3 linked regions of the Oreochromis niloticus genome follow. The protein of the gene in region 1 purifies or fractionates together with the protein of each later gene. This does not show direct contact. Links are inferred from orthologs where the notes say so. Each region holds a gene or a part of one and is shown on either strand. Other genes may lie near its edges. The genes, in order: ubxn7, klhdc3 and ufd1l.

Region 1 (9,912 bases):
GTTTCTTGGCACTAATAAAATAACAAGGCTTCAAAATCTGGACGCTTTACACAACCTGACTGTTTTAAGCATCCAGGTATCCTCACATACATTCATCACTTGATTACAGTTGCACACGATCCAGACAACAGATAATCATTGGGTTTGCATTTACTTGCAGAGCAACCGGATTACGAAAATTGAGGGGCTTCAGAACCTTGTCAACCTGAAGGAGCTCTATCTGAGCCACAATGGCGTTGAGGTCATTGAGGGGTTGGAAAACAATGTAAGTTATAAACTTTCAGTCCCACATTTCCAAAACACATAAAAAAAATAGGGTTCCATACTGTTGAATTGTGCAAACATGTAACAGCAATGTTTGTTTTTCCGAACAGAAAAAACTCACCACCCTCGACATCGCAGCCAATCGAGTAAAGAAAATAGAAAACATCAGCCACCTGACGGAGCTGCAGGAGTTCTGGGTACAGATAGTTTGTTTGACATGTTGTTTAATGTACAGCCTCAGTACAGACAGCCCATCTTCACTGCTGACAGTTTGACAGAAGAAGAAAAGTTTCTTAGAACATAGAAAATTTAACGTCGGCATGCATTAAAAGGCAACCATCATCAAATAATTAACTACACCTTTGCTTGTTAATAAAAATTATGACATTGTGGGTAGGGAACAGATCCTGCTGAGGTGGAGGTATGCACTGGAGAAAAGAGGAATGAGATGGGTAGAAAAGTGAAGATGCAAGGAGTAGAGGCAGTGAAGGTGGATGAGTTTAATTCCCCAGGGTCAGTCATTCAAAAAAACAGTGCGCAGAGATGTGAAGAAGAGAGTGGAGGCAGGGTGGGTGGATGTAATGAAGGCGGACATACAGAGGGCTGGTTGGACAGGGAGCAAAAATGACAAAATAAATGACAGAAAATTCAAAGTAAGACATAATTAGTTAAAGTACCCGTGTATTTGTATCACATAATTTTTTTGTTGAGCAGCACATTTAAAACAAAGCTTTCTTAAAAGTACATTTTTGTTGCTACGTTCAGTGTGTTGCTCTTTAAACAGTCGGTCAGTACTAAAAAGTTTCAAAGTGTAGTTCTTATATTGTTATGAGTTAAGCCGATGGTGCAACCTCACTGCTCTTGTTGTTTTGTATTATCTCCTCAGATGAACGATAATCAGATAGATAACTGGTCTGATCTTGATGAGTTGAAGAACGCCACTTCTCTGGAGACGGTCTACCTTGAAAGAAACCCTCTACAGAAGGATCCACAGTACCGGCGAAAGATCATGCTGGCACTGCCCAGCGTACGCCAGATCGACGCCACCTTTATCCGCTTCTAAGCTGCAGTGTACGATTTACCTGCCAGCTTCACAGTGTTCTCCCTCACCTCCCTGCCTGTCCTGCCTACACAAACAACAACCTTTCGATTCACATTGGCGTCACTCAATTATATAGCCGCGTCACACATTCCAACATATAGCTCACCCACTGCTCACTCAACATACATGTATGCATGTATGCACTCATTCAAACCTTGATCTGTACTTTTGTGTGGAAGCTTTTATTTATTAAGGTGGACCTGTGAAAATGAAAAACTACCGTACACTCATTTCCACATTTTTTTCCTCTGCACTTTTTTCCCCCCCTTGTGTTGTTTTGCATTTGGGATGTGCTGTTCTCAGTCATGAAGTTCAGGAAATTATGAAATCAGTCTTATTTATCACACTATTGAAGTTTCACTGTTATCATAACAGAGGAATTCTTAACATTGGAGGCATTCTTGTATAGTTAAGGGATTTTGGGAGTTTACTTCTTTCGGTTGGGCGGAAAAAGGCTGGGGGGGTTTTTGGGCAGGGATGTTGAAACACATCGAGTAAAAGAACAATTCAGCGTTAAAGGGAAAGTCTATAACATAATAGAAGCTGCTTAAGTTAAACTTTAGGATATGGCTCACCAAGCTTCAAAACTGTTCCAAATTTATTACCAACTGTGACAGTTTGGGAAGCCTCTAAAACGAAGCTCACAGCGCCATAATGACATCATGCTGACATCAAGCAGCATGATGGAAAGCGGATCCTTTACGGCTTGATTTACCATTTTAATAAACTGGTTCTGTTACTTACAGAAGGGGGGATTTTTTTTCCATGTCCAGCAGCCTTGTCTGTTCCTTGTTCAGAGATTTTACAGCTTATAGATCCATTTGCTGATTAACAAAACTGACCTCTGCAGTAAATAAAACTCATGAGAATGTAAGAACAATTAATGTGTCCATAATGATGGTTTTGTAATCAGTGGTGCCGTCACTTTTAGTTTATTTTAATTTTTTAGCCTTTAATGCATCACTGATTACTATGACAGAATATTAGGGCCACATTGGGAAAAACAAAAACATTGTTGCTCATTTTGAGAATAAAGATAAAATTTCGAGATTAAAGGCGAAATGTGGAGATTACCGTTGTTGTTTTGAGACCAACTGCCACGGTCGCACTACCCTCTAAAAATGCCTTGTTTACATGAGTTAGTGAAACAAATTGTGATCAAACATGCATCCTCTTTATTGGACGAGAGTGTAACCACGGGTAACCTCGCATCTGTCCACTGCCAGCCATTTCATTTCGTACAAATCAGCTCTTCTGTGTTTGTGTGTTTCTGTATAAACTTTTCAACGTCCTTAAAAGAGAAATCATTTCCTTACTTGTTACTCAAACTGATTCTGAAGTACGATTTTACTAACCAGGGGGTATGAAAACCATGCTAGTTTGTCTCGAAACAACAACTGTATTCTCCACATTTTGACTTTTTTTCTCAAAATGATTGATTTTTTTTTCTTAATGTGGCTGTAATACTTCATAGATTACAGCTTTAGATTTCTTTGGCTAAAAAAATGCTCATAAAGTTTATTTGAACTGATAAAATCAAAATGTAGATTTTTCCTTCATTTACATTCTATTGGCTGGTTTGATCTCATGATAACTAATGTAAGATAGACTATTAATGCTGCTGGTACAGACAGTCTTTATAAACTACTAAACTACATTCAGCAGATGTGTGAAGACACTGCATTGATTCATTTGGCATTTAGGATGGCTTCAAAAAAAAAGAATTTCTGTGTATTTATTGACAAGATTTAATACAGGATTTTCTCAGATCAAACAATACAATGACTGCCTGGAACCAAAGTTAATAGATTACTCTTTGGGTCTCCTGTATATAGTGCTCCTGTATATGCTTGAGTGCACTTGGTTTTATCCCTGGTACAATTAAAATGCGATGCATCTTTTATATGAAATATGAACTCCCCACCTCAGGGCTTTTAAGTTCACACGTGAATATAGTAGAGAAGCATCAAATTTATGTGTATTAAATGAGAAGTGCTAAACTAAGTGCTCCCTTTGCACTCATAATTATAACCTGATTTTATTTGGATTCATTGGAAACCTTTGAATTGTTAAAAGTACCCTGAGTTGGCATTTAAATCTCCCACTGTAGCCTAAAACCCACGCTGAAATGTTGGTTTCTATCGTAGAACAGCTGTTTATTGTGATTATGATCACAGCCTTTTTAAATCCAGTTGCTTGTGATCGTAAGCATAAATTAACAGTAGAACAATTATCAGACTATCAGCACTGACGTTCTTGCTAATTGAAATGAATGTAATGTTATTTTTATATTCAGCTTGACTGAAACTGGCCAGTGGGATTGAAAGTATCACGTTGTGTATTTGTAAATAGTTTGGACATGCCATGATGTAGAAAGTCAGTGCCATCATCACCTTCCCTTTGTAAAGTGACATTCTTTTTCCTCTTGTTTTGTTTTCACCCGGCAGAACAACAGATCTGTGCGAGATACTATAGTTTAAGATGACATGACTCTGACTGGTCACTGAAGGAGCAGCTGTTCAGATTGCTGTTTGCTCCTTGTTGTTAGGACTGAGTCTTCAGGTTTTGGGCTTGGTTGATGCCGTTTTCAAACTGAATGTATGATGCAAATAACAATAAAATGACACTACTTAAGAAGCGGGTTTGTGTAGTTTTAATTTCAAAGATAAAGAGTCTCATAAAGCACAGCTGTGAAACTTAATTCACCGTCAAATGATTATGTAGCTGGGTATTAAAGGATCCTTTATTATGACAGCTGCTTAATAAATTAGATTTGCTATATTAACAGCCAAAACAATAACAACACACTCTATGAAGCCCCGCAGCTCATCATCTGTCTGAAACAAGCTGTTAGCTGCATAGCCATTTAAGCCAAACTTTGGGTCTCCGGTGAATTAGAACTCATCCTATTGGCTGCCCCCAGCAAACAGATGGTTTAAATCACAGGTGGGTGGGGCTTGCTATGCTCACATTTTAGGGGACGTCCATCATGAGTCATCATACAGACTCAAGAGCAGGAAAATATATAAGAGTGTGATGTGGACCATAAAGTCTGGCCTCAAAGGGACTGCTTTTGCATATGAAACTTTGGCCATGTTTATTAGCAGTATTTGTCTTTTTGTTTATGCATGCATTACGTATGTATCTGACAATAAGGAAAAGCATAATGAGTTTCTTTTAAGTTAAAGTTACTGGACTTTGACTTTAAACAAAACTTAATTCCTTAATTAAAACTTAATTTCTTGAAAATCTAGATACACTCACCTGCCACTTCATTAGTTACACCTTGAAATACACCTTGTTAGTTCCCTGTTTTCTTTCAGAACTGCCTTAGTTATTTGTGATTCAGATTCAACATGATGTTCAAAACATCCTTTAGAGATTTTGGTCCATGTTGACATGACAGCATCACACAGTTGCTGTAGATTTGTCACTTGCACATCCATGATGTAAATCTCTACTTCCACCACATTTCAAAGGTGCTGTATTGGATTGAGATTTGGTGACTGTGTACGCAGTTTGAACAGAGTGAACTTATTCAAGAAACCATTTTGAGGTGATCTGAGCTCAAGTCTTCTATTGTTCAATTTGCCTGTAGGAACTCTTATCTGACAGTAGTGGCACCCGGTGTGGTCTTCTGCTGCTGTGGCTCATCTGCTTTAAGGTTTGACGTATTGTTTACTTAGAGATGCTGAAAGAAGTCTGGTTTGTCACCTCTGACCTGTGGTATCAACATGGCATTTTCACTCAGAGAACTGCTGCTCAATGGATATTTTCTGTTATTTTCAAACCATACTCTGTAAACCCTAGAGATGGTTATGTAGGAAAACCCTAGCAGATCAACACCTTCTTAAATATTCAGACCGGCCCGTCTAGCACCAACAACTATCCCATTTCTTCCCCATTCTGATAGTTGGTTTAAATTTAAGCAGGTAATCTTGACTTTGTCTACATGTCTAAATATGCTGAGTTGCTGCTATGGTATTGCTATTGGCTGATTTTGATATTTGCATTGATAAGCAGTTGAACAGGTGTACATAATGAAGTGACCAGTGAGTGTAGATGAGTGTAGATATGTTGACTGAATTATGACCAGGTAAATTATGTATGAAATATAGCAGTCTACACACAACATTATCATATGAATAACTCTGTGTCTACAGCACAGAAAATGTAACTAGCTGGTCTCAGTTTCTGAATATGAATTAAAGAAAGGTTTATATTTTTAGCAAAATAGCAGGAAAATAAAGAGAAATTTTATTAATTTTTATTACTAAGGTAGAAGGGTATATAATATAATATAATATAATATAATATAATATAATATAATATAAAAAAAACTGTGTAAAATTCCAACACACGTATTTTTTTACGTAATAAGCCAGCAACGGCAATTGACTTTAGTTCATTAAAACTACATGACCCAGAATGCAGCACTATTGTTACGCATGGGGTCCGCGTCGCGCCGGGCAGGGGAAAAATTACGACTTTGCGCATGCGCCTCATCTATGTTGTTGTTTGTGGCGGTAAGATGGCGGCGCTCGGAGATACCTCAGCTCCGGGGGTGAACGGGTTAATACAACAATTCACAGCAATAACAGGTAAAAATAACATTTTAATTAGCGTTTATTTCACTCAGTGGATTTTTGTGCTCATATAGGAACACTTCCCTCGCCGGATAAATCTTGAAATCCGTGCGCAGATGAGAAAACGGGCGTTAAGTGTTGCTCTTGCTCCTGCGCTGCCAGTGGTTTGCAGAGGGGAAAAAGCACAGGCAGTTATCAGCTAAACTCAAGTGAAAGACTCGGAAAATGAACCTTTAAGCCGGCAGCTTTGAAAGTTATTTTTAATCATCACTTAAAAATGTCTGCTTTTCTTGTTAGTGCTCGTTACAGACACAATCTCGCTAACCTAGAGCGGTTTTTATGCTCTTTTTTTGCGTGGCGTGTTGCTCGATAATGTGGAATGGAGGTCGGCTGTTCAACATTTCCCTTCTTCATCACCACCAGCCAGACTTCATGTTGTTACTGTCACTATGGCTCTGGCTGTGGCCCCAGACACTATTTATTGGTCACAACCTGAGGACTCCGAGTGTCAGCGCAGACACTATCTGTAGTTTATCAGCACTTTGACACAGTGGACGGTGTTTTTTAAGTTATTAAGCGGCAAAGAAGAGGGAGACTCTGTTCAGGGGCTGCTACTTGATACGGACATGCGCAGTACAAACGAAATCTCATCGTCGCCCCGCGGCACTCCGCTTAGAAATACTACAGGTTCATTCAGATGTGGAGTGTCCAAATCACTGTCACGACGTTGTGGACTACCGCCATGTGTGACATTAAGGCTTTTTGCATTGTTCAGGTGTTTTCGCACATTTCCGTTTATTTACCAAACATCGCGTGGTATATGCGGAGCATTTCCGCCCACCAAACCTTTTCTGAACTGAAACTGAACTATCACGCGGTTGTTTGGCGTTAACTCATTTCACTATAGTGATATAGCGTTAGTTTAAGATGTGCTTTCTTTGTCCCAAAAGTTGGGGAAACTCAGTTAAATAAGTAAAGCATTTTTTTTTTCATTTAAAATCAAAATAAATATAAAAGGTAAAATAAATGTGTCCATTGTCAAAGTGACATGTGGTTGCTTCTGTGACCACATATACGGAAAAACAAGTAATCAAGTACTAAGATACTACCAAGTTACTAAGTACTACGAGACTATGTTGTCACATGATAATAAAAGCATTTGATCCCTTGAGTGAATAAAACACGTGTGTATGTACTCATAATGTTTAGTGAGCTGGTTATAACTTTACTCTGGGCCTTATGTGGAACACTTATAGCATTACACAGTGAAGTTTGAACATTTAAGATTTTTTAATGAGGTCAGTGTTGCTGTTTGCCACACTCTGTGCTTTGCTTTCGCCCAGTTATATGATTTTATTGATACTGCTGACAGTGTTGTTAAATTATTGGTGAGGTTTGCATAAAGCAGAAAGAAGACTTGATCCGGTATAATACAAAAAAAGCGGACAAAAGGTTCACTGTCATGAGTTTGATGTGATGCTGGTAGGGATGGGTATCGTTTAGGTTTTATCCGATACCAGTGCCAAATTGGTACTTTTGAAACGGTGCTTGAATCTGTGCTTAAAGAATGGAGAACACAAACTTCGTCCAAAAACCTCTCATGTTTTTATTTTTAGCAGTCTCTTTTTTTCTGCAAAATGATAAGAACCGTAACAACATATAAACATCATCTGTGCAAAGATTTATGTTTTTAAAGTGAAACAGTGAAAAATTACAGCGCTGTCAATACATGAATATCCAGACGTTGTACAAAAATGTCCAATTCTTGCACACAATTGGACACCATGCCACTTGATTTTTTTTAGGTATTTAAGAGCAGTCATTAATTAATTTTATTAACATGCCTAAAAATGCTTTTTTTTAAAAATGCGTTTTTGAAGAATTAACCATACATTTACATGGTAATGGGCCTTTTCTGCCATGGAGCACGTAATTGGTCTCTGGCCCTTTAAAATCTGAGGGGCTGTAACTTTGGTTTCTTTTGGTCAATTTGCATGATTGACACCTCTTTTTAATTGTTTGAGCCAATATCTTGATGCATTCTCAATCATCCAGGGAAGTAAATCTCCAAAAGTTGAATCTGTTCATCTGGACGTAGCGTTTTGTGGGAGAAACGTTTCGTCACTCATCCAAGTGACTTCTTCAGTCTCAGAGTCTCAGCCAGTAGAGTCACAGTAACGATGCCACGTTCACGTTACGTCAACCAATCAGACGTTGTAATGCCAAAACCCACGTGGGCCCAAATTTACTGCATGTGACGTCTGTCCAGTCACGTGTCTATAGGTGGGTCTAAAATGGAGGTTGTTGACGGAAAACGACTCTGATGCGGCTAGGTAGGCGTGGTAACTGCTGATAATCACATGGCTACCGGCTACCGGAGAAAATAACGGAGGAAATCTGGACGGTAAGCCAATGTCTGTCTTAGCGCATTTGCGCCGCTGTGTGTTTTTGTGGTCTTCTTTTGCCGCTCATTCAGTGAATTTTGGTCAGAGTGTGGTGAAACTTGGTGTTTGGAATTGGTGATAGGCTGGTTATCTTCCAGCGCTATCTTTAGCCGGTTACATGAAGTCTGGAGAATTTCTGGTTCGCCTTGTTTGTATAGCGGACTTGTGCGCATTTACATAACTGCTCGTTTAATCATGGCTTGTTTTCGTTGAGTTTGGTGGTTGTAGAAATGGTTTATATGACATTTTAGCTGAGATTCAGAGGTTTCTGTGGATACCACACGTCTGGACTTATATTTCTCACCCCGTGTTATAACCGATTAAACGTGATCTCCTCCTTTTTGTTCGCGGTACCGGGGGTGTGGGGCTTAAAGCACTTGTTGCAGGCTGCTGAGTTTGCATCTTTTGCTGTGAAGTACAGCCAGACTTTTGACCGCTTCGCCTTGGGCATTTTTAATCTGTAGCTCTGCTCTAAAAGAACATACGTACCTGGGCCCGCCTACTATCCTTGTAAAGGTAAAATGATTGGCTAGAATCCAAAGTGTATGACATCTCAAGAAAAAAAAAAGCACCGAAATAAAGCACCAAAATGTGCGCTGCTTTTCGGTCTGGTTACTACTGTTTATGTCAGAACCGAAACCGGTACCCATCCCTAGATGCTGGTGACACCTTGGTGTAGTGGTTAGTACCGCTTTGGAATCCATCCTTGGTACTCCAGCTTCCTCTAATAGTCCAAAGACATGCTTGTTTAATTGGTGATTCTAAATTGGCTGTAGGTGTGAATGTGATGGACTGGGAACATGTCCAGTGTGCCCTGCCTTTCTATGAAACTTGGGATAGGCTCCAGCCTTATGTGACCTCACAAGTGAAAGATGGAAAGCTAGACTGTGATATACCACTCTCAGAAAAACATGAGCATTGTAATATAGTAACTAGGGATTGAGGAAAAAAATGATAGAGCGAAGTATGATGATATTTTGTGTAGTGATGTTGTATGAATACAGGGACACTAAATATTGCTATTTTCTTAAAAAAGTTTAAATACCCTGGGAATACTGCAAACAAGGAGGCTGATCTAATGCACCACCATCCCGAGATAACGTTAGCCAAGCAAAATTAAACTAAATCAACTCAACTGAAAAACTATCCAACACTGGTGACACTTAGCTTGACAAAGCAACTACCTAATTCACAGCTAATGGCTAATTCAAATGAGTAAAAATAGGACAACAGCTTCCTTGTATATAAAAATAATAGGCTGTATTTAATATTTTTATATTCTGTGACCTCAACTTGAGCTAACTAAATGTTTATGCCATTGGTGATTGCACGGGTTGCCTGATAGGTGGTAACCTTTCTGCAAACAGTAACAGTCTCACTTGGACTGACTGCAATCAGCTTCAGAGAGATTGTTGGAAGTTTACAAATAATTGCGTCTAATTTATTCATGTAGACAGATTCCTAACATGTTGCCATCGGTCTGAATGAGTCGTGAGCACAGCTCGAGGAGGACTGA
Region 2 (10,826 bases), on another chromosome or scaffold:
CCTGGACAAGCTTGCAAAGAAGATTTTTAATCTCAGTGGTTTCACTTCCTGTTTAAATTAAAAAAAATAAAATAATAAGGAACCACGTGTGGCTTCAGGGCTGCAGGTTCAAGACTCCCCAAGGACAAGAAGATGGACACACTGTATCAGACAGACTGCACCTTCAGGTAGCAGTCATACTGAAAGCTGGGATCAGGTCCCATTATGTGACATCATCCGTTGACTAGGCATCTGTGCTCCAACAGCAGGAAGCAATTTTGCCATATCAAAGGTTGAATAACAGGAAAAAAGCTGTAGCTTATTTTTGCCCTCTCCGAAAGTATCAATCACCTTGAGAGGGACGCTTAACATCTGACCCCTGATGTCATTTCAGTGGCAAGCTGGGTGCCTTCAAGCTTTTATTTTGAAGCTCAGTTGACTTGGTGGTGTGATTTATTAATCACATGCAAGAACTTTAATCATGTGATGCAGCTTGCTTAGAGTATACTGATAACATGTGTACTTGACATCTGAATAGGCAACTGTTGCTAAGTGGACAGGTTTGTTAAAGTCTGTCAGCACAGAAGGAGTAAATAAGGAGAGATCAGCCTTTATACTGACATTTGGGAATAAATGTTTATACATACAATCATCCAGTGGATCTGTAATCATCATGCACATTAAAACAAGTAAAACAGCAGACAAAAAACTAAATTTAATCCAAGTGTTTTAGGAAAACTGGGAAATATAGACAGGGAAAAAAAAGATATTGAATTATCCTATGAAGATCACTATTGTGTTGCAGATTACTTTAATGCTTCAGTACAGGTAATTATTTTTGTCAGTTTTTTATTGGATTCATACATCAATAAACACACAGACAACTTGGAAAACGTCTCATTTGTTTTTTGATCTTCTCGAAAACCAGTTAAGGCAACACTCATTCAGTCTTACTCTGAAAACGTCATTACACTTCACCTCAGGAGTCTGGGTTTAATATAGGAAAGGCAAATGCGATCCCCCCCTCCTGCTTTGACAAACAAGGTGGCCTTGAGGCCTTCACATAACAAGCTGGACCTACCTCAAAGTTCTGCGTTATTGTTTGCCTCACTCATGTCACCTCCTGTTAGAGGAATGAATGAGCTCATTGCTGACACCAGTCTGAGTTATGCATGACTTGTTGATGATAAAAAATCAACTGACATATGAACAAAGCACCGCATTGTGGTATACTTTGACAAATAAAGCAGAGTGACAAGACATGGGTTGTGGGTTCCCAGATTGTACAGACAATTTACAATACATAAAAGGACAAAAATGATTTTAACCAACCGTTATAAAATTCTGAAAATTCAGTCACAATTTGTAAGCCACGGCAAAACGTTTGTGTGGACATGAAAACACGAGAACCCAGATTATGAGCCTCTTTTGGCATATTTGTTGCATGGATGTTAAGACTCACGCATATTTTTATATTATTCTAGGTCATCTGTTGCTTAAAAGAAACAGTAAATGACTGAGTTTCAAAAGACCGCAGCGTCAAACTATTTTTAAGCATCAAAAGAGGATGATGGGAGGTTCAAGTGTTTAAGTGTCTTCAGATATGGTGTGGGAGAACCACTGGGGCCTGTCACTGACTGACTCAGAGATCCCCAGGACATCCAAGGAAAGTAGCAGCCACTGCCTTATCTGGCCCCTACCCATGGATGATAACAACAAGTGGGTTTTAAGCAGGTGCTGTGCAGTCTTCAAAACAACTGTACCAACTGTATGAGAAGAAGAGGGGTGAGGTTAGGGCTAAAATAGAAAGTGAGCCACATAATTGAAGCGGTTCAAGTGAAAATATGCCTTGCAGACAGTTGCCTGTCTCTGCTGTTGCAGTCAATCTGAAAACTCTGTGGAACGATAATTATTTTATCCTACTCTTAAAAGCACAAATAACACAGGACAAAAAACTCAAAAGAAGATAAAACTGCTGTGGAAGAGCATGAGACTGTAAGAAATTACGTGTACTTTCATATCTGCTTTATTTTGTGCAGTTGCATTGAATCTAGGAACACTTCTGTCTTTAATTGTTGGGATTTTTTGTTGTTTTTTTTTTTAAATTTGGAAGGTGAGAAGCCCACAGACAAACTTCTCCCTATTCTATCTAACAGCATCACTCAGACCAACCTTGAAAGAGATAAACAAGCCAGAGAAAACCTTCAGAAAATGTGCAGACTGTGGGCATATGCTGTCAAAGAAAAAAAAGATTACAATCAGCATTCTGTATTAAGCGATCTTCTTCCCATAGAGAGGATCTGAGGTGAAGTACAGAATGGTCAGATCGGTTTGATCCTACTCTCCCCTCATCTTGGCTGCTGCCAAAGCATTTTTGCGTTTTTTATGACCAGTGTGGAAATGATAATACGCTATTAAATCACTCATCTGTTTAGGATTTTAAGCTTTGTCCAATAACCCGCCTCCCTGCACCGCCGCATGACTTTCCTTATAAAATACAGCTTGTTACTTAATTGGTAATTGGAAACACAGCCTAACTAATAAATGCTGCTACAAAGTACTAATTTTTCTCTTAATTCAGAGCAATTCAAATGAACCATAAGCGAGAAAATGACCTAAGGCGCATACCAATCGTCTTCTTTAGAGACTCACAGAGAGGAGCTCTGTTCATTTAATAACCCCGAAATTAAAGGAAAATGTATGATTCAGTCATCTGGCCACAGAGTTAGATCATGCTCTATGACATCATTCTGGACTGCTCAATACTGCTTACCTAATCGAGCTACGGCGGAAGTCAAATCCGTACGTTAAACATCCGGAGATCCTGCCTGCACAATGTAGCAAAGCACTGATAGCCTGTGGATGCATAGGATTTGACATTTCGGGACAATGCTCAAACAACACTATGACTGTAAGAATGTTACTTAACTTAGACCCATGCAGCGAAAACACGTAGTGGAAACTATGAAAGAAGATCAGGAGCAGGTCCGTAATAATGTAAAACATATTAACATTTTCTGGCAAGATCCATGCAGTAATTTAACACAAAAGCGAGGCAGAAAGGAGTAATGTTACAAAAGTATATTAAATTAGTGTTTGTTTTTCAGATCAACATTATAAAAAAAAAAACCTTCTTCCCCCTTTCCTTTTATATAAATTGGTTTATTTTGCATGGAGCTGGTTTTACTGTTCATAATAACAGCGCACTTAGAAGTTTTATACCCCATGGTAAAGAAAAAGGTTAACCGAATGAGCCATTTCTACGCAAAAGCTGTATTTTTCTCGGCCACAAAAAGCATTGCAAAGCTCTTCCATCACCGGGCCTGCCCGAGAATAGCGAACAACAGTTGGGTTTTAGCAGTTGTTGTTGATTTGCGGAGCTATGCTGCAGTTGGGAACTTCTGTTCCCTATGTCAAAGCAGACACGCACACACACATGTGCTGGCTATAAAGTTTGTAAAGGACGCCACTAAGCAAATGTGTCAAAGAATGGCTCAGCAGGGCAGATGGGTGACGCAATCTGTGCAAACGCTGACAGGTGGGATGGCGGGCTGGGATTTTTTCTTCTTTTTTTTTTAGGCACTGCAGACTGGGTGTAGCTGCAAGAAACACTTTCACTAGGGTGGGCTCTCTGTTCACTTAAAAAAAAAACAGACTATGTCTAGAACACACACAAAAACTAATAGTATTCCTCGGTAGTATACAGGCGTATTGTTTTCCACAATATACAGTATGAAGGTTGACTGCAAGTAGAAAAATAAAACAGTTACCTTACATGTGCTGCAGACATGTCATCATTTCAAAAAACGGAGCCAAGTTGAAATTCCTGGGGCTGCTTCCAGACCATAACATCATCTAGCTGTAAATATGTAATGTCAGTCAGAGCATAATAAAGAACTGCCGAGTAGACAGCTTTCAGGATCACCAGATCAGACTGTCAGAATTCATTTTAAAGTTTTCAGCTGCAATGTAACAGGTCAAGATAAAGGAAAAAAACAGTATGAAATATGCTTTAATGTCAGCTGACAAAATTACAGCAGCAACAAAGTTTCAGATATCTCTCTAATCACTTATCAGAGCTCCAAGGGGCAGCCATGACCAGCTGTCTTTGGACAGCCGCAGGCACAATCTCACCATTGTGCGTGACGTGCAGCTGGCGCGGGGCTGGAATGCCTACACACAGTGAATCAATCAGAGCCCCTCCTGAGTGGACTCGGACCTGGGCAGTGATGCAGTCAGATCCGTAGCAGCTGTAATGTGGATCCTCAGTGCCATAATCCTTTTACGAGACTCCTTTCATATCAGTCTGAACATTTTAAACCAAGCTGATCACACTTAACCCACCCCTGTAATTCTATACCTTTGAAAATTTAGGCAGGATAATAAAATTGCATAGTGTGTCATAGTCACAGTGTGGACGTGTGAAACAGGCCGTTTTGTGGGTTTCAGTAAAATTCGCTAGTATATATGATAGGCTGCACATAGCAAAATAGCAAGTTAATTGCTCACATTTACCCCCGGCCCCATCACCTGGACCTCAGTTACAGTAGGAATTAAGTCAGCCATGCCCATATGAACCTCAGATGAAAGCTATTTTGTTCTCTAACCCAGGCAAGCTGCCCAGGAGCACATTCTTATTTATTGACAGCATTGACTTGGATGCAGTGCTTGCAAGCTGCAACATGAAGGGCTTTTCTCTATATCAAACATAAATAGATATGCAAGAACTCCCCGATTTGACCACATCATTATATTGGGATAAGCTGAGGTTGTTAGCCTTATTTTGTGGTTGGGTACACTGGTTTAGTGCCAGGCAAGCTGGGTTTCAGCCTTTGTGTATATGCGACTACAATGCTGACAGTGTAACACTTAGATTTCCTGGGATGCTCCATACAAAATGCTCATGCTCTGCCAGGCCTTATGAATGGCTGTCACGCAAACAGTATCAAATTATTATTATCAGATTAAATTTGCTGCCCAAGAGCTTCTCAACCAGACCCAATGAATAAGCTGGTCACAATATATGACCAATAATACTGGGGTAGGAACTGTACACTAGGGTATGACAGGGATTCACAATCTTTTGGGCAGGAGGCTGTGTGATGGGTATCTGTTAACCTTTGCAATTCAACAGTGCCATCTACTGCTCTAGTCACGCTACTGTGCATGTCACATAAATACTCGTCTGGGTCACAACAGTATCAAAAACAATGGCGCTTCATCACTTTGCTTGTTCAATTTCAGTTGCCGTGTTATATTTGTTTAAAACAGCAATTCCACATCATTTGTATTTATGACACCTTAAATTATGAGCTAAGAGCACTTAAACAAAAATCATTCAGAATTTGCAAATTGTTCAATTACAAGGATTTCTAGAAGCCTTTTTATGAAAGGACAGATACTTGCTTAAAAGTTAAAAACAGTCTGTGACATAAATTTACAGTACTGTAGAAAGGTCTTAACACACCTCATTTCTTTATATATTGCTAGGAAAATGGGAACTAGATGCAGTATTTATCAAAATATGTGTAAGCATGCCGGGCTGTGAAAAAGTATCTGACCTGTTCCTGACGTCCTTTTTAAAAAAAATAAATATTTGTAGCACTTACATGTTTGTGGCATGATGCGATGCTTGTTGTGATTTTGAACTTGCTTTACTTTGTCAGACAGGTTCTATTTAAGCGATTGCTAATCAGGCCTGGGTGTGGCTAGTGAACCTATTCACTTCAATTCAGTTTTATTTAAATAATAATTAAATCACAACAGCAATCTGTATATCATAAGACCTTATAATGCTACAGACAAAACCCCAAGAATCAAACGATCTCCTATGAGCAAGCACTTGGTGACAGTGGGAAGGAAAACCCCCTTTTAACAGAAAGAAACCTTCAGCAGAGTCATGTGGTTCAGGGATGGGCAGCTATCTGCCACAACCAGTTGGAGCAGAAGACAGGACAAAGGACACACTGTAGAAGAGCTTTCGGTCTGGCTCTTCTTTTGTCCTCCATTTTCAATTCCCTCAAAGTTTTAAGGACACACTGCATTAGTTTTTTTTAATTAAGTTATGTGTAGCCACTGCAGTGGTTCATCCCTTCAGGCTCCTTGGAAGTAAAATGTAAAGAATTGAGGGTTGTTTAGCATATTAGGAAGGTACTTCGTGATAAACAGTGATATGAAATTGTTTTTCAACCATCCTTGTTTGGACACAGTAATACAAGCCACAAAACATAGTTTCAGGAAGGTCTTGATTGTTTTGTTATTAGTGTTCAAATGTCAGTATGACTTTAAAGGAAGTTTTCTTACTTCTGACAGAGAACTTGCCAGTAGCAGGTTGAGTTTTGCTCGTTTGTTTTTCTTTTTCTTGTTTAAATTATTTCTCCAGCTTCCCTCTGTTGCACTGGGAGAATGGCCTAGATTTGTTTTAGCCCAAAAAAGGCCCATACTTTTACTGTTGGACCATCAGACTGAAAAACACAGTGAGTTATCAGTCAATATATCCATTGCTGTTAACGGGTATAGTAGATGGATACACATGAAAAAAATCCAGTAACTGTTTTACTGTTTGAATAGGAAGACTGCCTTTGCTGAATATATTTTATATTTCCGCATTGATGTATATTTTAGAATGGAGTGTGTCAAACAGATATCCAACAGATAGTTTATCTTGACGAGAGAGCCTTTAAGCAGTGACTGCAATGAACCCTTAAAAAAAAGAAAAATCAGCTTTCCTGGATGACATTGTGATTGCAATCTTGGCACATTTTAATTTACATGTTAAACATGTTCATTGTTATAGTAACTGGTGTCATTATTATGTGATCACGCCACGTGGATAGATGACAAAAACGTTAAGCTTCTGGGTCACCTAACAGGTTAATCCGGCCATTCTGCATAACATCACAGTTACAGCAAGACACTCAACTCTAACTTCTCTCTGTGCTGTGCAAAAACGGTGTCGAAAAATGCAGCCGCTGACCTATTTTGCACTTAGCACGGCAGTTAGTAAATCCATCTGTTTTTAAAGCAGAAAGACTCACGTGCGTGTTTTCCCAGGTATAAAACAGCCGACAGGGGGTGCTCGCGGTAACTTCTCATTCCATCACGCTTGGTAGGGGCTCTCGGGGGATAGCCCTGCCTGGCTGCCTGTCAACCACAACCGGCTCGAAGGTAGCAAAATTGAACATATATGAATGTTATTCTGTTTCAGTTGACTAACTCGTAACTTTGCCAAAGCTGGGAGTGAATGTCTTTGTGTTACAAGTTGTCTGTCGTTTGTTTAGAGTTTACGTTAGCTTGCTAACAGCTAAATAGTTAGCTTCGACTGTTTAGCTTTAGCCTAGCCTCTCAAAGCCTAGCACCTTGGCTGTCAAACAGCTGTTTGCAGTAGCACCATATTCGTTACTGTGGTGGTGATGTTGAGAGATAAGCGACCGCGGCGGCTAGTCAGTGCGCCTCAAAAGGTTGTTGTTATGCCTGTTAACGTTAGCTAAAGAGCAAAGCTAGCTAGTGTGTGAGGCGTCCACTGGGTGTTATAACTGTTACAGCTCAATGTCACCAGCTTTAGATTAGCTTCATCTATCAACAGTTTGTGCTTCAGTCAATCGAGATCTGTGCAGAAGCATGCACCCATTTCCAAACAAGTCTTATTTACTTGATAGCCGCTGTGTACTTTGAAGCACCGTTGTTAGTCATCTGATGTCAACAGTACACTGTTCAATAGGACAGGGGGAAAGAAGGTGCTTTCTACTCAGCTCGGCTCTTGCAAAATGTTCATGTTGTCTAATTGTATAGCAAATTATTCCAGATGAGTATTAAGTATGTATAAAGGAAACTGTGTGCACTTATACTGCTAACTTTGAATAACCTGGGAAAGGCTAAATGGTTTAACTGTATTTGCATGTTGAGGTGTCAATTTGCACATTGTGCACATAGTGCAGTCATCGAAAATATTGGCTCCAGTTAAGGTTAACATGCCTGGTGACTAGATTTGTGCTTGTGTTGCTCCTCATAGATATGTGGGCTTGAAATAGGTCTATGTTAAATGGTGCTCTAGGGGTTTTTATTTTTAACGGTAAACAAAGGTTGGAGGTCAGTGGTAAAGTGTGTCACAGGGACAGAATAAGCAAGGGGAGAGGGGAGGGGGTCAGCGAGGCAGGGTTACTTGTGTTTAACAAGTAGCGTTTTATATCACTTAAATTTCACTGTTCAGAGCTGAAAATGTCGCTTTGGAAATGTTTAATTTCCCATTGAGCTAAGAGCTGCAGGCGTACTTCAGTTTTGTCAGTCGTTACTGATAAAATGGGCAAATTATGGTTGTATTTGTTTTTAAGAAAAAAAAACAATAGAAACACTCACAAATATTAAATTGGCAAGATTTCAATAGTGTGTATAGATTGCTCAATCTCCTTGAGTAGTGTGGCACTGCTTTGTGTTCCTATAGTACTGCCTAAATGAGGCACATGTTTACTCTGACTTTTAACTCATTGTAGTGCAGTGGGTGGGCACAAAGTGAAGAGTGAATAGAAAGGCGTGGTAAGTGTAGGTCTAATCACCTCTTAAAATACCCTACAAGCTTAGATACAGGGGCTTGTACCCGTCAGCAACAGCAGAGCTGAGGTTAGCCCAAGGGAACAACAGTTACCCTTTGTTGTCCTTGATTGCCCCCTCACAACTTGCCCTGTTGTTCTCTTTAGCAGAGTGCTGCTACTACCCTTGTTGTGGTCACAGGTTTTAATGGCCTTGGTTTGATGGGAGCATCAGAGTGATGGTCTAAGCGCTCACAGTCACAGAAGTGGGGAATGTTGCGCTGGACTGTGCACCTAGAAGGAGGGCCACGGAGAGTCAACCATGCTGCTGTGGCAGTGGGTCACAAGGTGTACTCCTTTGGAGGCTACTGCTCCGGGGAGGACTATGAGACACTTCGTCAGATTGATGTGCACGTCTTCAACACAGGTATGTGGTAAATGTGTGCATTTATTTATTTATGTATATATATATATTTAGAGATCCATTGTTAGATTTGTAAAAGTTAAAAAAAAAATGAAATGAGATTCTGGAAAGACTATATTAGTGTTTATGTAAAATTGATTCATGTACTTATTTTTGTATCTTAAATGGGTGGAAAAAAATCTATTTGACAGGCAGGACAACACTTCTTTTATTCCCCAGTTTATTGAGAAAGGTTAAGAAACTGTTGTAATTTGTTGAATGTGCACAACTTTACTGAAAACTCACTCCAGTTGGCAGTTAAACCCCAGCTTTTCATTGCGGTTTGCAACAATTTTTTTTTCCAGTTGTTGTTTTTCAGTTGCTATCAGACAAGCACAGCTGTTTTCTTTAAATGGGTTAAGAGAAACACCCTTAACTCATTTTGGATGGTTTTTCCCCATTGTGTGGTCAGCCACCTGTTTTAGGGTTTTACGACTTCCCAAAGTAGATGGAGCATACCTGCTATTGGTGTATCATGAAAAGATCTGTGGAACTAATGCTTTGAGTGTAATGGAGATGGGACCTCTTTAACTACAGTTTCCTGTCATCTTGCTTTGTCCTCCTTCCCCCCCTTTGACCCATTTATTGCAAAGACTGATTCTAACTTTTTTCCTTTCTTGATGGTACTTTTTATTATTAAAGTGATGTTAACTGTACTGAAAGCTCACTGTGAGAGAGTTGTAGGCATGTTAACAAATTTTACATTTTTAGCATTTTAACCTCTCAGGGCAAGAAAGATAATAAAATAAATTACTGACTACCAACCTAATTTCCATTTTAAAAAAAAAAAAAATATATGCGAATAACCGAATATGTAGAACTTCCTTTGTAACACAGTAAGTATCAAGTAAAACTTGGCGGGCAGCATTGTTTTAGTGTTTGTTTGTTTTTTAATTGAATTTTAAAAAAATGTTCTTTAAGTTTTTATATTTTATTTATTTTTTAATAAAAGGAAAATGTTTACTTTCTGTGTTTTTAGTGTCATTGCGCTGGATGAAGCTGCCTCCAGTGAGGATTACAGGACACGAACGTGCCCGTGAAGTGCCATACATGCGTTATGGCCACACAGCTGTGCTGCTGGATGATACTATCTACCTCTGGGGCGGGCGTAACGACACAGAGGGGGCCTGCAATGTTCTCTATGCTTTTGATGTCAGTAAGTAGACCCTCATCTAACTCGTGCTGCTGAGAGTTTCAGGGTGTATTTCCTTTGAGATGAACCTGTTTGAAGTTAAAATTGTGACAACAAAAAGTAGAGGAACTGTTTTATATTAAGAAAGCTGTAGCACCTGCATGTGTGTGATAGTTTTCCATTGCATGTAACGCAAGTGCTCTGATCTCAATATTGAACAACTGCGACTGCCTCACAGATACTCACAGATGGTACACACCCAGGACTTCAGGGACTGTTCCAGGGGCGAGGGACGGCCACTCTGCCTGTGTCCTGGGAAAGGCAATGTATATATTTGGAGGATATGAGCAGCTGGTGAGTTTGATTTTTGATTTATTTTTGCTTACACAAACTTTCACTGTGAACATTAAAAATGAATCATTTTTTATTTATTTATTTTAGGCTGACTGTTTCTCCAATGACATCCACAAACTGGATACCACTACCATGGTTTGGTCACTAATTAATGCCAGAGTGAGTTAAAAGTCACTAGCTGTTGCTTTTCAGTCGTTGTTGGTTATTCCTTGACAGTGTTTCTGTATTGAGCATTCAGAATAATTCTCCTAACAAACAAACAGGAAACCCTCTCTTAAAAAAACAAAAATGACACAGCTGAACATCAGCAACATAAGTTCCCTGTGGGTATATTGGCATGTTATAAAAGCACTGCAGTGTGGAATTTCAAAGC
Region 3 (10,092 bases), on another chromosome or scaffold:
GATTGCATGCTTACCTTTTAAAGAGTGTGTTGTATGGCTCCAAAACCATACATTTCTTCCAGGTTTCAGCAACAAGCCGAATTTTGAGGTGAAACTGAAACAGCAGGAGGCTCTTCATTAGAATAATTTTTACAGAGACAGATTTAACTGGGGTCCATGAAATCTTAATTTTTAAATTTTGAATATATTACATATGTTAATAACTTGCATACCTGTGTGTCCAGGTGCTGTTGGTGCTTGTGAATTTGCTGGCTGTACTCCCAGGTTTTGTGAGAACAGTGGGCTGAGGTATAAAGCTATGGTGGAGATCAGAAAGCTCAGAGGACAACTTACCAATGCAGGTACATGGACACAGCGAACTCAGATAATCAACATGTCTGCTTCTGAAACACAGCTGCAAGTTATTTATCTTCCCTCCTCCCAGTGAACGCTGTGTGTCCAGAGGTGGGAGTCTTTGTGGATCCCAAGATGACTCCACCGACGGAGCACCAGGTGGTTTGCTTGCGGCAGATTGTTCTGGCTGGTCTCGGAGACCATCTTGCGAGGCGTGCCCAGGGAGAGGATTTGGTGGACCCAAAATGGAAGAATGCATACAAGGTAAGTCCCTTTGAGGTCTGTAATTGAATATTAGAAGTATATACTGTATTATGGGTCTCTTCACATCCTCATCTTTATCCGTTTTCACACATAGACACCTCTTATGGATGAGCCGGTGTTCATTCATCCAAATTCTGCGTTGTTCAAAACGCTGCCAGAGTTTGTGGTCTACCAGGAGATCATGGAGACCAGCAAGATGTACATGAGAGGTAAATGAGACTGAAAGGGAATAAAATCACATGTGTCCTCTTAATTCGAACTGACTGCCAGGATGTGTCTGATTCCTACATGTGTGTCACAACTTTTTATAGTTGAATATATAAAAGGGACTACCTTGTGATTAAAAGGTTGTTACTGCATGAATCTGCAGGTCCATCTTTTATAGTCTGTGGCACAGTCCTGATTGTATGGCTGCTTACATGCTTGTTTTTAATCATTTTTACCTATTTTCTAAATATCTTTAATCCCTAATTAAAGGATAATAAAGTGGCGCTGGGTTACTGAAACAAGATTTGCAGACTGATGCCTTTCCTTTATTCCTGTCAGGTGTTTCAGCTGTAGAAGCAGAGTGGGTCCCACAGTTTCTCCCGCAGTACTGTCACTTCGGCTCTCCGCTGGAGTCGCCGTCCCCGTGGTTCTGTTCTTCTACCGGTACCATCAGATGCCACCGTTCAAGCACCTTCTGTGAGTTCTCCACAGCAGAGCACTAGAGCTGAAACCTCTTTCTGTCTACAGTTGCTTAACTGCTGTGTTTCTCCTGTAGTCCGTGTGGGTTGGCAGTTGCCTGCAGTGGAGATGGAGTATCCAGAGGGCCTGGAGCGCTACAGGCTGTTTGCCAAGTTTCTCCTGGAGGGACAGGTACTGCTTTTTGTTTATCTTGAACAACCCTTCCTGTAGTTCATCCATCCATCCATCCATTTTCTTCCGCTTACCCGGGGCTGGGTCGCGGGGGCAGCAGCCTAAGCAGAGAAGCCCAGACCGCCTTTTCCCCGGCCACCTCCTCCAGCTTGTCCGGCGGAACACCAAGGCATTCCCAGGCTAGCTGAGAGATATAATCTCTCCTGGTCCTCCTCCCGGTGGGACATGCCCGGAACATCTCACCCAATAAGCATTCTTGTCAGATGCCTGAACCACCTCAACTGGCTTCTTTTGATGTGGAGGAATTGCAGCTTTACTCGGAACCCCTCACAGATGGCTGAACTCCTCAGCATATCTCTAAGAGGGAGGCCAGCCACCCCTCTAAGAAAGCTAATTTCTGCCGCTTGTATCCACAATGTCGTTCTTTCAGTCACTACCTAAAGTTTGCGATCATAGGTGAGGATAGGGACGTAAATCCATTTGGTTTCCATAGTTATCCTTGTGACAAAAACAGCAATAAATAAATAAAAACACGGGAAACCTAGCACGAACTGCACAATGAACAAACCTGACAGGAACATTTATCTCACTCACTGTAATGTGTACTTTCTATGGTTAACAGGTTTGTCCTGCACTAAAGAAACACAGCAGTCACCTGCTCTCAAACCCCTCCATCATGCTGAAAACATGGGCAAAGTAAGTTGGTGCTCTCACACACACACTTTTATTCCCTTTTTACTGCATTTCCTAATTCATTTACTCCATAAACAAGCACATCTCAAGGAGTTTTTTTCTTTTACTGTCATGTCTTTGCCGTTTTTAGGTTGCAGCCCAGGACAGAGGCTTTCCTGGGACCACTGGTGTCAAAGAAAGTTGACTGCAGAGAGGCACTCCACTCTGTCTGGAAGACTGAAGAGAAATGTAAGCATTAATGTTCTTACTTTGCTTCTGATTTGGTTAGTTGTTTTGTCATCTAATTGTACAATGTTTTTTTCTCCTCCTCCAGTTCTGCTTACTGCATACTGCCAGTGGTTACCTGAATCTGTGCACCAGGAAGTAGCTAAAAGTTGGCCTCCTCTATAAAAGCCTGCGTCTAAACAACCGAGACAATGCAACAGACTCTTGACCGGAGACATCACATGGAGCTACATTTTGGCAGAGCCTAAATCTTTTGACTGTGGTGTCTGTTTTTTATGGTTAATCAAAGGGTGTTTACAATATCACAACACTGCCTTAGTATTAGTTTTATATTTTATTTACTGTACCACTTGTAAAGTAGATATACAGGCACAGTTGAAATGTCTTTTAACTTGTCATCAGTGTGCTGCTGTTGTTTATATATGTCTGATTTGGTCTTCATAAGACTTATAAACACTGTGACTGTGAGAAAAGCTTGTATTTGATTTCATGCTTATTAATACGTGTGCTTGAAGGTTAAAGGTCAACTGAACCACTTTTGCACTGTATGGCATTTTATTTGTCATGAGGATTATTACCAGCTTATGAGGAAAATAAGACTTGATGTCAACTTGGTCTACTCTAACTCTAGGATGGAGTCAGAGTCATTAAACTGTTAAAGCAAGTGGATGTTTACTGGGTGGGAGTGGTTGAGAATGAAAGCTCTGAATAAGCTGTGTTAAATAACTTGAAAAAGAGCACTACCAGGGGCTGATCTAGAAGGGTGGCATGGGGTGGCATGTGCCACCCTAAAATGTTCCCTTGCCACCCTAAGTGCCATCCTAGTCTTGTATATGACAGTGTTGTTTATTAAAATAAGACAGCATTAACACTTTGAGCCTAGCTACAGTTAACCCTGAATATAAATTCTAAAACTGAATATATTGCATGGTGTTACCCTCCTCCCACCCACCATTAACAAATGGTTCAGCCCAAAGTGCAGACCGGCTTTTTTTCTTGTTGTCAGTAGGAAGCGATGCCTAGAATTGTGCCAGAGCACATTTTAAATCAACACCACGGGCATTTCAGATTTTACACACAAAAAACAGTGTGAAACTTAAGTTAGACTTGTGTTTGTAAATGAACCGCCCCATGGTGTGTTGCTTTCTGGATTTTACACTTATCGAGCTACATATTTATTAATTATACAGGCTATAAAGTACATAGAATCAAAATTCACGTTTTATGAAACGGAAATGTTCAACTATGTGGGCTACAGAAAATAATTAAGTTATAGACTATATTTATATGAAATATGTATATACTTAGTGCATTTGAGTCATTTTAACCATATGTAACACCTGCATATGTGGTTTTTTAAAGGCTGTGATTTTGCCATCCCATTTGATTTCCATTTCCGTACCGGAAACCCGATCAGTACCCCGCATGCGCAAATCTTACGTCACTTCCTCTCTTTGCCAACATTGCGACATTCAATATATTTGAATGATACGGTTAGCGCCCAGTTAGCTCCTAGCATTTCTCAACAGCTGTGCCTCCTTTTCGACCACCGGGACATTTAAACAATGGATAATCCGTATACAAACAAATTTATGCTTTTCTCCTCAACAGAGAGCATCCCCCGATTGAACAACAGCGCCGTAAAATAAGAAGAATGGCGCCAAATTACAGAGTTAATAATACAGACTTTGTAATGTCTCACATGAAGATTCATCAGCCAGATGATGTGTTTACTGACAATTGACAGTGATAGTGGACATCATCATCACTATTCCAATCAATCCTCTCCACACAGACAAGCATAAACACACTCGACTATCACTAAATGAAATTTAACACACTTTTGAAATCACGCTAATTCAGTTTACAATAGGGTTCGTTCGCTCGGTCAGCAGGAGGCGGTATCCTCGAACACTGGGGAGTAAACTGCCATTAAACGAACAGAAGAAGAAGAAAACCCCTGCACATGCGCGGTACGGATCGGGGAGTCCTGATCCGTAACTATCTTTTTATTTTTTTGTTTTTGTCTACATTATATTAAATGTTTCATTATCGGAAACATTTTAAGAGACATTTATTATTCTTAACATCTTAACAGATACTCTGACCCAGTGGCGGTCCTAGCCTGTTTGGCGCCCTGGGCGAACACGCCCTCTGGCGCCCCCCCACTTCAATAGTTGCACCCTTTTTATACACACTCTTTATTACTCTGTAATATTCTTGTCAATCTTCTGAATATTTATTTATAATCACCTCTATTAATCCTTGATATTTATAATTGAGTGATCTGTATATATTAGTGCTATTTCTTAAATGTGTAAAATCTGTAACATAATGTATTGTTTGGAGTTTAGTCTGCTACTGTTACTATTTTTACCATTTCTTCTTGGAGCAACTGTAACCCACATCATTTCCTTAGGGATTAATAAAGTATTCTGATTCTGATTGTTTCAGGGTGACCTGCCATTATCCAATGACACATCTGTTTATCTGTATCTTTTGCTCGTTTCTCCTCCTCTTCTTTTCTCTTTTTTCTAAACTGAGCACCTGGTGGCTTTGAACTTTTCTTGTCCATCTTCCATTGGTTTTAATCTTCCACTCCAGTATAAACACCCATCCCCCAACCCGAGGATCACCACAAGATAACCTAATAAACCTACACCTTAGTTCACAGAGTCACTTTGTCTAGGGTTTATTTCTGGGATTTCGCACAACCCAGGATTCAAATCATGAATACATAATGGGCTTGGATTTACAACATGATGAATGACATGTGCTCTATTTGGAAGCAGCCGCCCCCCTCCCCTTTCGACAGGTTGTGTGAGAGACTTCAAATCTTAAAACTGTAAATTATAAATTGTTATTGATCCCTTTACCCCGAGTCCTAAAGTGTATATTTATTTTCTTGCTCTTCTTATATTTATTGTTTGTTTACTTGTTCTGCTGTAACTGGAGCCTCGTCGTCTCGTCTCTCTACATACTGGACTGTATGTAGTGGAGATAACAATAAAGTTTCCTTTGACTTCAGCAGCAAGCAGGCGCACCGAGGGCTCTCGCGCTCACTTTTCGCGTATAGAATTTCGAAAAAACATCGGTGCAAATTATAAGTCTGTATCATAATTTCTGGTGTTTTCGTGTTTGTTGGTTTGTTTTTATTTTGTTTTATTTTGCAAGTTGGTTATTAGATGCTGCTCCAGCCAGCCAGAGAATCCCCCGCCGCCCCGCCCTCTCCTCCCTGTGCCGCAAGCAGCAGGCGCACCTAGCAAACGGAGGGCGCCCTTGCTCCCAGCAAATGGGCGATAGAAAACTGATCGGTGCCTATGCCATTCACAAAATGCGCTGGCATGACGTCGGTGGCAGCATGAGTACAGCAATTTTGTATTTATTTATTTTTTTTGCCGATGCCCGTGATGCCGCCCCCACCACGATGCCGCCCCGGGCAACCGCCCGTGTCGCCCGTATCAAAAACCGCTACTGCTCTGACCCGTAACTATCGTAAAACGCTTCGACCGGAAGTAGACACCTTTCGCGCATGCGGGGTACCGATCGGGTTTCCGGTACGGATCGGGTAGTATGCATTGTCATTAAATTAGAAAACTGAAACAAAATCTGAAACAAACATCATTAAGCGGGCGTTTAGCAGCGAGGAACAGAAACAGTCAACATGGTGAGCACTGTGGTTTTTCTCGCCGGTAACTTTGTATCAAAACAAATCGTAGTTGCTGCAGTTTTAGCTAGCTAGCGGCTAGCAACAGAACTACAGCACAGCATAAAGATCCACTGTCCTGAACAATTCATTTGTTATCTATTTGCTCTGAAGTAACCTGAGTTTGACTGACAAGCCTGATGTTTGTTCCACAGTTTTCCTTCCATGTGTTCGAGCACCAGCTGGCCCGGGGCTTTCAGAACCGTTTCTCCACTCAGTATCGTTGCTATTCGGTGTCCATGCTGGCTGGACCCAACGACCGCTCCGATGTTGAGAAAGGAGGCAAAAGTTAGTCTCATTCAAAGAATGGTCATGTTGGTTTAGACAGGCGGCCAATTCAAGGTTTCTGAACAAAAGATATTGAAGTACAGTATTTTCTCCCATACCACTCGTTCAAATTAAAGTATGTATAGGTGAAGAATTAAATAAAGACCTTAATCTTTGACCTCTGCAAATACAGGATCTGGTGATTCTGTTTTGCTTGATGTCATAGTTTGGTTCCACAGTTGCTTTTTAGAGGGAAAGGTCACTGGAAATCAATACAGAGTTGCTCTGACTGACTTTTATCTTGTGATTAAACATTTTAATCCTGATGGAAGAAAATGAAACTCCCATCCTTCAGAAGTCACTCTGAACATGTTGTTTTAGTTCAGTATGTTAGACAGTGCTCTCCACCATCAATGTTAAAACATCAAAAAGGGAATGTGTTTTGGAAGATTGGTGCATCATCAGTCCAGTACATTTAAGAGACTGGGGGAAATGAGTTTCCTTTGTGGGGTGTTTAAGCTCTCATTTAGAGATAAGGTGGGGAACTTAGTCATTGGGAAGGACCTCAGGGTAGGCCTTCTACTTCTTCACATCAGTTTAGGACGTCCAGCCATCTGACTAGGATTCCTCCTGAAGCACTTGTGAAAACTCAAATGTCTGATGAAGTCAAATTGGACATAGAGTTTGATGAGCGATGGTGTAATGTTTGGCAGGTTTACATGTAGCTAATTTTCTGCATTCACCACTGTATTGTGGGTGTAATATGTGCCAACATCCACATGGTGTAACCAGCTCCCTTGTCCAAACATACATCCGGTACCGCAAACATATCTGAAGTTAACTATTTAACTATTTACTGCTTTGTGGTACTTGTTAGAAAAGACAACTGTAAAAACAATATCCTCAAAATGTCCAAGTTTATGTTGGTATGTATGAGGTGAAAGTTGCATATCGTATTTCAACATATTTTATGAAAACACATATTTTCCTTAAAGTAACTGTTATTTTTCTTTTCTTTTCAGTAATAATGCCACCTTCAGCTCTCGACCAGCTCAGTAAGCGCACGTTTATTCAAAAACTTCTTACTAAATGTCCTGTTTACATCCTGTTTTTAGCATTGCTCTATTTTCCTCTGTTCAGGCAGGCTTAACATTACCTATCCAATGCTGTTCAAGCTGACCAACAAGAACTCAGACAGAATGACACACTGTGGTGTCCTGGAGTTTGTGGCAGACGAGGGAATCTGTTACCTACCTCACTGGGTGAGAAACAGTAATGAGTTTAATGTCACCATCACACAGGCTGAACTGTCTCCTGTCAGCAGTGGAGGAGCACTTACTTATTCTTCTTGTGTGGAAGTGGATAACAATGTTGTAGAAGTATGAGTTTAAAAATCCAAATTTGTTGGTATTTGCAACATGTTGAACTAAATATTCTTTGCTGATTAAAATCTTTGGCGATGCTGTGGTTCACACTATCTTCTCACAGCACAATGATTCAGGGTTGAAATATACCAGCTGGCTGCAGGCCTTCTGTGCGGAGTTTGGATGTTCTTCCTTTATCTGCATAGGTTCTCCCCGAGTACTCCCACCTTGCACTCTTTCCCCCATGACTTGATAGATGGATGGAAATAGAAAAAAATGAAGGCTCGAGTGACATTTGCTGTATTTTGTTCGCTGCAGATGATGCAGAATCTCCTGTTAGAGGAAGGCGGTCTCGTTCAGGTGGAAAGTGTCAACCTCATGGTGGCCACTTACTCAAAGTTCCAGCCTCAGAGCCCCGACTTCCTGGACATTACAAACCCCAAAGCAGTGTAAGGAGTACAGGCTGAAATGTTTATTTGAACTTTAAATTTTTATTTTTTTTGACACTTTATGTTTTAACATAAGTGGTTAACATTCATTACAGACTGGAGAACGCACTGAGAAACTTTGCATGCTTGACAACTGGTGACGTCATAGCCATTAACTACAACGAAAAGGTGAATCAGTTTCTTTAAATCATTGTTGTAATTATATGTGACCAAGGGTTGTTCTTGGAGAGTTTCCTGGAAGATTAAACAGGAGACTTCTGCAGTTTTAAAGTTTGAAAACACATAAAAAATGCCTATAATGAATGTGGTCATGGATGGCTTTGATCAAGTGCTTCTATACTCTGTTACAGCCTACGTGTGACGTGTGATTTTGTGTGTGGTTTGTTTTCGAGGCTAAGGTAATCTGTGTGTTTCAGATATATGAGCTGCGAGTAATGGAGACCAAACCAGATAAAGCAGTATCCATCATCGAGTGTGATATGAATGTAAGATCCCGGACTTCACTACAGTCACAGTGAATTTTTCTGTTGCTTTGCTTGCTCATGTGCTGTTACTTTGTTGTTCAGGTGGATTTTGATGCTCCTTTGGGTTACAAAGAGCCTGAACGACGGCCTAATCACCAGGATGAACCAACAGTAAGGAGCAAACCATCATGGTAACTGTACATTTTCTGCTTTGAACAATGTAATAAAACTGTATTTCTGACAGGAGGAAGAAACAGATCCCAGCAGTTATGCTGACATGGACACAGGCTTCAGAGTGAGTTCAAGTTAATGTGTACTACTACTATAAGTACTTAAAGAACATAATTTAATCTCTAATCTGTGCTTTATTTTCAGGCTTTCACCGGTTCTGGTAATCGTTTGGATGGTAAAACTAAAGGAATTGAACCCAGCCCTGCTCCCATCGCCCCAAGTGACATTAAAAGGTGAAAAGAGTGTCTTACACATTCCCATAAAATTAGCTCAACTGTTAAGACAAGCTATTTTTACAGGGAATGTTACACCTTTATTTAACAGCATATTGTGAAAGGGATTAGGAGAGGAATGACAGTCAGCTCAAACTGCTGCTGTTCAGTATATTAAAGGCCCCAAGCAGGAACCATTATATCTATTAGGCTATGTTAGAGATCTCAGACAGGGCTACCTGTGTTGCAGGTTTGGTCAGGCGTAAGTTGGTGAGCTGAGTTGAGACATAGAATGTGACATCTTGAGGCACATGAGTTTGTCAGGAGATATATTTAAATTGTCTGAGTTCTGAGCATTTTTATGTATATTTTTTTTATGCTTCATAAAAACAGAGAGGAATACCGGATTTATGCTGTAAGGCAACTAGGTACCCTGGTCTTAACCCTGAATGCTAAAGCCTGAACCATACCATAATTGTCAGAAAATTCTTTGTTTACCTTTAAAAAAAAACAAAACAAAAACAAAAACTGGAGTGGTTATTGAACTTTCTGAATGGTCCACATGGCGTTGCACAGCTTTGGTGAGTGTTTGTCTCTACTAAGATGTACTGAACAGCAAAGAAGTATAAAATATACCAATGTAACTATACACTGGTATTGTCCTACATATGTTTTTAAGCTGTGCTCTGGTGACAGCACACAGCTACACCACGCAGACAATGGTTTCCCAAGCTGTTGTGTGTCTAATGTTTCGTCACACAGAGGGATTCCCAACTATGACTTCAAAATTGGCAGGATCACCTTCATTCGAAACTCCAGGCCTCAGCCCAAGAAAATTGTGGATGATGTAAGTAATGCAAACAGTTTTCTTTCCTGGCAATTTTTAAAGTCTTATATTTAGTGTTCATGCCATATTTTTCCATTTTCTTCTAAATCTTCTCAGGATGATGCCATGAACAGATTCATCGCCTTCTCTGGACAAGGGCAGTCACTACGCAAGAAGGGCCGAAAGCCTTGAAGAGATAC

Evidence for each region.
Region 2: the proteins of ubxn7 (region 1) and klhdc3 purify together in Homo sapiens (affinity purification with mass spectrometry; 3 studies listed by BioGRID and IntAct, with this or other methods). This does not show direct contact. The link is inferred for Oreochromis niloticus from reciprocal best matches to the Homo sapiens genes UBXN7 and KLHDC3.
Region 3: the proteins of ubxn7 (region 1) and ufd1l purify together in Homo sapiens (affinity purification with mass spectrometry; 3 studies listed by BioGRID and IntAct, with this or other methods). This does not show direct contact. The link is inferred for Oreochromis niloticus from reciprocal best matches to the Homo sapiens genes UBXN7 and UFD1.

The regions. Positions count from the first base shown.
Region 1 is NC_031982.2:16,073,400-16,083,311, forward strand, and holds the start of ubxn7 (UBX domain-containing protein 7), read left to right. Parts: upstream 1-5,829; 5' UTR 5,830-5,861; coding exon 5,862-5,967; intron 5,968-9,912. Other genes in the region: ppp1r7 (protein phosphatase 1 regulatory subunit 7), read left to right, coding at 1-76, 161-265, 375-461, 1,151-1,327. UniProt on the Homo sapiens protein: Ubiquitin-binding adapter that links a subset of NEDD8-associated cullin ring ligases (CRLs) to the segregase VCP/p97, to regulate turnover of their ubiquitination substrates.
Region 2 is NC_031978.2:24,074,505-24,085,330, forward strand, and holds the start of klhdc3 (kelch domain-containing protein 3), read left to right. Parts: upstream 1-6,925; 5' UTR 6,926-7,146; intron 7,147-8,672; exon of another isoform or gene 8,673-8,706; 5' UTR 8,707-8,777; coding exon 8,778-8,931; intron 8,932-9,946; coding exon 9,947-10,123; intron 10,124-10,337; coding exon 10,338-10,453; intron 10,454-10,540; coding exon 10,541-10,612; intron 10,613-10,826. UniProt on the Homo sapiens protein: Substrate-recognition component of a Cul2-RING (CRL2) E3 ubiquitin-protein ligase complex of the DesCEND (destruction via C-end degrons) pathway, which recognizes a C-degron located at the extreme C terminus of target proteins, leading to their ubiquitination and degradation.
Region 3 is NC_031977.2:25,878,715-25,888,806, forward strand, and holds the start of ufd1l (ubiquitin recognition factor in ER-associated degradation protein 1), read left to right. Parts: upstream 1-5,888; 5' UTR 5,889-6,037; coding exon 6,038-6,040; intron 6,041-6,234; coding exon 6,235-6,367; intron 6,368-7,368; coding exon 7,369-7,401; intron 7,402-7,486; coding exon 7,487-7,608; intron 7,609-8,028; coding exon 8,029-8,159; intron 8,160-8,254; coding exon 8,255-8,327; intron 8,328-8,575; coding exon 8,576-8,644; intron 8,645-8,725; coding exon 8,726-8,794; intron 8,795-8,867; coding exon 8,868-8,918; intron 8,919-8,998; coding exon 8,999-9,087; intron 9,088-9,828; coding exon 9,829-9,913; intron 9,914-10,009; coding exon 10,010-10,084; 3' UTR 10,085-10,092. Other genes in the region: putative ATP-dependent RNA helicase DHX37, read left to right, coding at 225-341, 425-597, 692-806, 1,144-1,281, 1,361-1,455, 2,078-2,151, 2,279-2,376, 2,462-2,538. UniProt on the Homo sapiens protein: Essential component of the ubiquitin-dependent proteolytic pathway which degrades ubiquitin fusion proteins.